Linked DNA regions of Tribolium castaneum. The protein of the gene in region 2 interacts with the protein of the main gene of each other region in a pairwise test. Links are inferred from orthologs where the notes say so. Each region holds a gene or a part of one and is shown on either strand. Other genes may lie near its edges. The genes, in order: Mon1 and Ccz1.

Region 1 (4,127 bases), on a different chromosome or scaffold from region 2:
TTCATGTTTTCAGCGTTTCCTATCATAAATACTTAATTTCTTAACTATTAATGTAAAATTTTGAAAGAAATATTAAAAAAAACACATGAGTATAGAACAAAATGAAGCATTCAACAGCAAATGCTTTTGTATTCACAAAAACTTAACGTAGCAATTTTTATTATCATACCTTATTTATTAAATATTGCCCTCTGACACCTTTATGTTTTAAAGAAGGGTCTTTCATAACAGTCATAAATCCAGGGTCAGCCACTCCGTCGCATATTTTGATGAATCTATCTCTGTATTAAAAATAATAATAAAATATTTAAAGAAAATTAAAGGAAACATTACTGAATTTCATCCAATAAGGCATGACTAACATTGTTCTTTATCACAATATATCCATTATCTTCATAAAATTGGCGTTGTTCGTATGTTAGAACACCACCGTCTTGAGTATACCTAAATCTAAAAATTGTACTTATTAATATGCACTTAATTTTTTGTTTAACTAAATTACCTTCCCATTTTGTTCGGTAACGCAGACAATTCTCTTAAGAAACTTGTCCGAATAATACACTAAAACATAAAATTATCTTGTTTATTAAATACACTTGAATTATGTTGCGTCATTGAAGCATTTATTTATAACAATACAAAAAACATGTACTTAATGATTTCAGTGTCAGTAGTAAGTAATAACAACACATTATCGAACAGATACTCAATAATAAACAATTACTTTGAATTTACTTGTACTGTTTTTAATCAAATGTCAAGCATCCCACCGTTTAAATAAATAAATCAATGATACGAGAACAGTAAGAGCCGGTTTACAGAAAATTTTAATTGCAATTAAATTTTAATCGCGATTAACTTGACATTTGTCAATGCATTTTAAATGGCAACTTAATTCGAATTAGTTTAATTTCGAATTAAATCTTAATTTCGCTTTCTGTAAACCGATCCTTAAACTTATAATTAAACATACTGTCTATTTTTTTCTCGATTTTGTTACTTAAGTACCTACTACTTAAGCCGTAGATATACATATCGCTCAAATTGTAACACACTATAATAATTATTTGTGCGTAAAAAGGAACTAACAAATGCTTTTTCTTATTATCGTTGTTTGTTAGTTGTTAAACACTCACCTCGTTATCACAGCACGCAAAGTACAGTAAATAATAAAAGTCTTGACCTCTGCATACCCAACAGATGATCTAACTAAAATTTCACTATTTATCTAGTTAGAAGGTTGGTAATGCTATATTTTTAAATAAATTAAGTGTATTTCAGTGATGTATTTATTTTCAAGTTTGAAATAACATACTACTACCAAAATCAAAATTAATTTGAAACCAAAATGTAGTGCAATAAAATAAAAAATGACATTCTCTTATTTTTTACACAATAACTACGTATTTAAAAAACTTGGAAAAGCGGAAACTCAATTAATATAATAGTTGCTCTTAACTTGTTTAACCACCTTAAAGCCCTGCCTTAAGAGTTTTAGTTAGAAGTATTAGTTAGAAGGTTGGCACCAAAATTGACAACTGTCAAAAAAATGTCAGGTTGAGGTTAGAAATCAATCAATCAAAGAGCAATGCATTGAAATCTCAAAAACCCAACAAAATTCCGACGATTTTTCAAGAATGTTCGTGAATTTCACGTGAACTAAAACCCCCAACAAAAAATGTCCTCGAATCTGGAAGTTGAGCCGGGGGCAGCCTCCGAGAGTGTCCTTGTTACCACCGACTCCTTTGACAATTTTGATCACATGAGCTCGAGCCTCGAAGAAATCAAAAACCTGAATGCACTCGCGGAAAACGACTCAAACGTGGAAAACAGCAACGTCGAGAATTTTGACGAAATCAGCGAGAATCTCTCAATTAACAACGAAGAGGACGATTTCGTCCAGTCAAAGGAGTGGGCTTGTAAGAACAAACATGTCTTTGTCCTCAGCATGGCCGGGAAACCCATCTATTCGAGGTTGTTATCGTTTGCATAATTTTTTTCTTTACAACTTATGTCTCAGATATGGAAACGAGGATAAGCTAGCCTGGTTGTTCGGTGTTATGCAAACACTGGTTAGCTTCGTACAGTCAAATGAGGACACCATTAGGAGCATCCATGCCGGGGACACGAAGTTTGTCTTTTTAATTAAGAAACCGTTAATTTTAGTCGCCGTTTCTCGAACGCAGGAAAGTGTAAATCAGCTGTGTTCACAACTAAAGTGAGGGTTCCCACTTTGTTATTTTTTCTAGTTTTGTTTATTGCAGCTACGTATTTAATCAAATAGCCAGTGTCTTAACCTTGACTAGACTTAATAAAATTTACGAGCAACGCCAGAATTATGACTTAAGACGGCTTCTGGCAGGTGTTGAGAGACTCATTGACCACTTGCTAGATTTCTCAGAGAAGGAGCCTTCGTTCACTTTGGGCGCAGTCCAGTGTCTGTCACTTGCGTCCTCAGTGAGAGACAACATCAGCTCGGCCATTGTCGGAGCTTGCAGCAAAATTAAAGTAAAAAAATTGTTTCAAAAAACATTTTTAAAATATCGTTTCCAGAACCTAGTTTTCGCAATACTTCTCGCAAACAATAAACTTATCACTCTAGTCCGCATGAAAAAATATTGCCTTCACCCGGCCGATCTCCATTTAATATTTAACTTAGTCCAAGCCTCCGAAAGCCTCAAAACGGCTGAAAGTTGGACACCGTTATGTCTTCCACGGTTTGACGCTAGTGGTTTTTTATACGGACATGTGTCCTACTTGGCTGAAGACTGTCAAGCGTGTTTGCTCCTCCTGACGGTGGAAAGGGACGTATTTTTTGCCCTAAGTGAGGCGAAACAACGCATAGTGGAAAAACTGCGACGCAGCAACTGCTTAGAAGCAATCAATGAGTCGCTGAGTGCGAAAGAAGAAACTTGCATTGTTGCGGGTTTCCCCGAACTTAGGCACTATTTGTACAAATGCAAAAGTACAGCACAGTTCTACCAACCAAGCTTGACCCCACCGTACACCAAATATAACGAGAGACTAACAAAGTTGTACAAACGGGCGCATAACTTGTTGCATTGCTCGACGAGGCCGCTAAAGTTGTTATTTGAGAAAAACTCAGACGAGGCGATTTTGGCGTGGGATACGAGAGGTTTTGAGCTTTATGTAGTTTTCGAGCCCTTGATTGACACAAACAGTGCGATTAACTCAGTGGGGCGGCTGCTGAACTGGATTAAGAAAAGGGAGGAGAAGTTGTTTCATCTCAATGCGCCCACTTTTTGAGCCATTTGATTTGTATATATTATAAATATGTAAATTTTGTGGAAATCTAAGGTATAGGCTTAATCTGTGATATTCACAATCCTAAACTTGTTGATGTATTTAATTATTGATTGTATAAAACGATGTATTGAAAAATCAGTGGTGTCTGTCTCGCTCCCGTTTCCTGTCTTTATCCTTACGATCTCGCTCTTTTTCGCGGTCTTTCTCCCGGTCCTTGCGCTCCTTCTCCCTGTCTCTTCTCTCCCTATCGCGCTCCTTCTCCCGGTCGCGGTCCCTCTCCTTGTCCTTCTCCTTCTTGTGGCGTTCCTTACTCCGACTGCGATGCCTTTCTCTGGATCTGCTGCGTTCCCGCTTCCTCTCCCTTTCTTTCTTCTCTTTGGGCTTTTCTTCAACCAACTCGTACTTGTTTTCTTCCTCAAGTTCAATCTCTTCGTCCAAGTCGTCTTCAAGGGCCGAGATCTTGGCTTCGAGTTCGTTGCTTTCTTCCAAAACAATGCGTTTTTGAATGCGTGGCAAAATAACATCACAAACCTTAAAAATTAATTTTACTATCTACCGTAACAAAAAAAACACGTACTCGTTCCTCTCGTAACAATTCGTCAATAAACTCGTCCATGTGTACAATTTCAAACTGCGCTTGGCGATTTTGTCGCCGCAACTTCCTGTTGTCGTTGTACAAAGGCTCAAGATATTTGTAACAGTCTAAGGACGACCCTGTGAGTCTCATGTAGAAAGCACCGAGGGCTCTGACGTATTTAAACTCCTCGTTTTTGATGAATTCAACTACAATGTCTTTCTCTGGTTGAATTTGTAGCATTTTTAGTGTCAAACATAAAAATGGTGTTGGCTTTATATTGCCA
Region 2 (4,098 bases):
CTCATTCATATTCTCGAGCAACATCGGCAAATAATGACTTTTGGTAGTGAGGGTCTCTACAAACTTGTAAATTTCCTGGACATAATCAATGTTTTCAAGCATTGGGACGTTGGAAATGTTTAAGGAAAATTTTCCAAGTGCCATTAAATCTTTCCGCAAGTAGCTAAAAGTCTACACGTGAAAAATAGCAGAATCAAATGTGCGAATTCCCTTACACTTTAGAAATGAAGTGGTAAATTAAATACTCGGCTGCCAATTCATCTCCACACATTAATTGTGTTAATAGAATCAAAAGTTCTTTTCTAATGATCTGCATTTTATCAGCGCTCATTTTTTCGTGCGTAACTAATGGATTATTGTGAGTCAATGATTTGAACGACACACAATGAATTCTAGGAATTAAACACGGAGGAGGATTGTGAATTTGAGACTCCAGACCGTTCATATCATCATCAATGTTAGCCCCTAAAAGCGGATTGAGGGACAAAAAGCCCACAAATTCACAAATTGAGTTCAATTTAATCTTGTCCATGTCTTTGTATACTTTTAAGTGGCATACTTTGCCAGACGGATTGGGGATTGGGAAATTTAAAAGGTACTCTTGGGAAACAACAGGTGTTGTTTCTGCAGGTTGTGCTGACTGATTACATGGGCGCTTGTTAGAGTTTGATGGTTCAGTTGCACTAGCGACTTCCATTTCTTCAACGGGTCGTTTTAAGTGCACTGAAGTTGAAGAGCTTGTAGACGGTAGTTTGTACCTGTCCTCCTCAAGCTAATTTTTTTATTACACAACCCCTCAATTAAAACAATACTCACTTTATGAACCCATGGATTAATACCAGGGATTGAAATTGCAACGTAAACATGCCGCTCACTTGGAGTGGTTGAGGGACATTCCTCAATGGTTTCATTAGACTGTCAACACATACTCAGCCCCCGAATAGCTTTCAAAAAATTACTCTTACCTTACAGTCTGCACCATCAACGTATTTGCCGTATTTAATAGTACTTTCTGCAGTTTCAGTGTTTGTAACAGTGAATTTTTCCAAGTAGAGTTCGGGACCGTGCATATCCTGTATCATGCCCTGGAAGCGAACCAGTTGCCAGTCTTGGAAATTGTGCAGCTCGTTTGCATTCAACAGTGGAATCTAACAATGTACAAAGTGTTCAAAAATTGTAAAAGTGTAACTTTCTAACCTGATTCCAGATTTGTTCGTTTTGAAGTAATTCCGAATATTTCGTTTCGTTTAGGTACCATTGGTCGGGCCTACAGTTTAATAAGTCCATTTTTGCACTCGTTATTATTATTTTTAAAGAAAAAGGAACACCCGAAAATAACCTCGAAAAAGGGTTACACTTTTTGGCGCCAAATTATATGTCAATCTTTGCGTTGCAACTTGCAATTTCCCTAATCCCAAACAACTTTAAAAAATATTAAAGACACTTGAGGAAGGAATAATTATACAATAGATATGCTCTAGTTCTAAAACTGACGGCAAAAGTAGGTACTTTGGTACCTGTCCGCGTATTTTTAATGTTTGAGATGTATGGCAAATGAATAATATGGATCAATGGATATTGCTAAACATAACATAACCTAGTAAAAATTTTGGACTTGAAAAATTTGTTTCTAAAAACATAATATTATTCAATAAGTTTCGAACCGGAATTATGAGTAAAAACAAAGACGTGGAGTTAAAAAACTTTTTTATTTTCAATTCTCTATATGGCCCCAAGGAAGGGGAGGTGCGTACGCCCCTTTTAGAACACAATCACAATGTCTTTTCCAGGAACTGAAAAAAATTCTTTATTATTATCCAATATCTGACAATGCCGATGTACAAATAAAGAATGTGGGGTTAGTTGAGGGGATCATTCAATTCACTGGGTAAAGTGTTTGAGATAAGGGGCAAAAAACTGTAAGATTTCTTGTAGCACATTTAAACCAAGCACTCCAGTGAATTCACTACATACGCAAAAAATGCGTCAATTGTATTTCCAACCAGAAAAAAATATGTGGATTGTTTTGGTATTTACACATCTTTAATCAATACTTTTAAGCACTAAATATTATAGACGTTAACTTTACCAACCGAAGTTAAGGGGAAGGACAGTTCAACTCAAATCGAATATCTCGAGGATGATGTACAAGACAATGTTTACGAAGCCGTCTTAAAACAAGCCTATTACACGTATAGACTTTTCTGGGGCACTTTTGAACACACGATTGAGAACCACGATGTGGGCACACTTAAAACAAGACTTGAAAGTTTCTATAAAGCTGTAAGTTAACAAGATTATTTAAGAAATTTTAATTTATACTTCACAGTATCTGAAAACCTTAAAACTAGGGCATGCTGATATTCTGAACGTGTTCCACGGAATTCAGTATCTGCCTCTTGACAAACTAACTTTTTTAAAAGTCCAATGTTTTATCAATTCACTTGAATGCGAGTATCCCGAAATTGCGTACACAGCGTTCTTATACAACGATCATCTCATATGGTAATTAATTCAAATAACTTAAAACTTGTTTTATAAGTAATAACTAATTCAAAGGAGCGGTTTTGAACCCAAAGACATGAAAATTGTGTACCAATATTTAATTGGCACTTTACTGCCCGCCAACATGGAGGCTGAACTTCAAGGGGGCTCAATGCCCCGTAATTCTGTTTCACCTTTTGCTGCATTACATCACGGTCGTTTCATTACGGGACCTACAAATTTAAAAACAGCCAAAAATGTGGGGAAAATACCCAAAGTTTATTTATTTGCCTCAGGGAAGGCCGAGTCCTACAACTTGGTGGTTTATAGGGCGCTAAGTGCGTCCGTTTGTTTATTTATGAGAGGTTTGTTTCGTTTGTTTGGTTTTATTAAATTAATTGTTAATTATAGCCGACAAGGAGTTAAGTTTGCAATATTTCAAAGACATGGACGAGTTCATTAGCCCCAAATTGACTGCAATCGTGTCAGATATTTCCGAATATTGTTCCAAACAAGTGATTACGCCATCAAATGTCCCCGAAAACGCTCCAAGGTTTATCTATTTCAATAAATTGAATTTGGCTTACAAAAGCACAGCGCATTTGGATAATAAACAAACGGGAAACATTGCATGTACCAAAGAATCTTTAAAAATAATGGCTGATTTGAACAATAAGAGATCACTGTTGGGCCACTCTAGCGAGACGATAGTCAAAACAATGAATGACTATTGGGTTGTTGCGAAAAACTCGAATTCTAGAGAATTTTACGTGGCTTTGCAGCAGAAAAATGCAAGTCTTATCGACATAAGCGGTAAGTATAAAATGTTACGTTATTTTTTTATTTCATTAATTTTTGTAGAAGAAATAAAAAAATTGTGTGATACCGAATTAAAAGGCATCTTCTTCCACCCACTGTAGGATTTGGTACAAAAAAAAACACGATTTTTATTGCAAAAATCATTTATTAATAAGTGTACATAAGTAGGCAAATACAAAATAACTTAACACTAAATCCTAAGAAATCACAATATTGCAACTACCATGGAGTGTGGCGTTAAGTAGTATAAATGAGGTGAGATTATTTTTTGGGGAAGAATGTCAGTTCAGTGTGAGTTTGTGCGAACAAAACGTTCAGTTGCGAGTCCAAACCGACATTCTCTACCCTAATAACGTGAGCTTCATTTCTGTTGGGCTCTTTTCGCACCACAGCCAAGCCATAGACGCGCATCAATCTCTCGCTGCTTTCGTCACATCCTCCACCGGGAATAGCAATGGCAATGTGGCACATGACGTCAATGTGGACGTATTTCTCAATCGCGTGCTTGCCAGACTGCGTCTTAACCTGGAAATGATGAGAAAAATTTAATCTCTACAAAAATTAAGTTCAATTCCACTAATGAAAATTTTTCATTACCAACCCAAAATTTTGAAAAACGATCTTGCATTCTTTAAAATTTTCAGAAAATATAACGTTCTAGTTGCGACTTACCTTCTCCATTTTTTCCTCAATTTGAGGCTTGTCAGCTCGCCAAACTGTAGCTTCACCCAAAATCTGGTCCCCAGCTTTGATTACAAACTTCATGTCTTTATGAACGGCTCTGATTTCCAAACC

The links.
Region 1: the proteins of Ccz1 (region 2) and Mon1 interact in a two-hybrid assay, tested with the Caenorhabditis elegans proteins (2 studies listed by BioGRID). The link is inferred for Tribolium castaneum from reciprocal best matches to the Caenorhabditis elegans genes ccz-1 and sand-1.

The regions. Positions count from the first base shown.
Region 1 is NC_087396.1:19,985,358-19,989,484, forward strand, and holds Mon1 (vacuolar fusion protein MON1 homolog), read left to right. Parts: upstream 1-1,479; 5' UTR 1,480-1,678; coding exon 1,679-1,974; intron 1,975-2,020; coding exon 2,021-2,218; intron 2,219-2,264; coding exon 2,265-2,508; intron 2,509-2,553; coding exon 2,554-3,267; 3' UTR 3,268-3,402; downstream 3,403-4,127. Other genes in the region: phytanoyl-CoA dioxygenase, peroxisomal, read right to left, coding at 170-281, 334-450, 503-510; Prp38 (pre-mRNA-splicing factor 38), read right to left, coding at 3,403-3,798, 3,845-4,127.
Region 2 is NC_087394.1:35,479,897-35,483,994, reverse strand, and holds Ccz1 (vacuolar fusion protein CCZ1 homolog), read left to right. Parts: upstream 1-1,613; 5' UTR 1,614-1,671; coding exon 1,672-1,746; intron 1,747-1,790; coding exon 1,791-1,888; intron 1,889-1,935; coding exon 1,936-2,029; intron 2,030-2,076; coding exon 2,077-2,283; intron 2,284-2,329; coding exon 2,330-2,505; intron 2,506-2,559; coding exon 2,560-2,849; intron 2,850-2,895; coding exon 2,896-3,297; intron 3,298-3,345; coding exon 3,346-3,404; 3' UTR 3,405-3,498; downstream 3,499-4,098. Other genes in the region: mini-chromosome maintenance complex-binding protein, read right to left, coding at 1-163, 216-772, 817-915, 966-1,148, 1,198-1,287; uncharacterized protein LOC655748, read right to left, coding at 3,565-3,828, 3,976-4,098.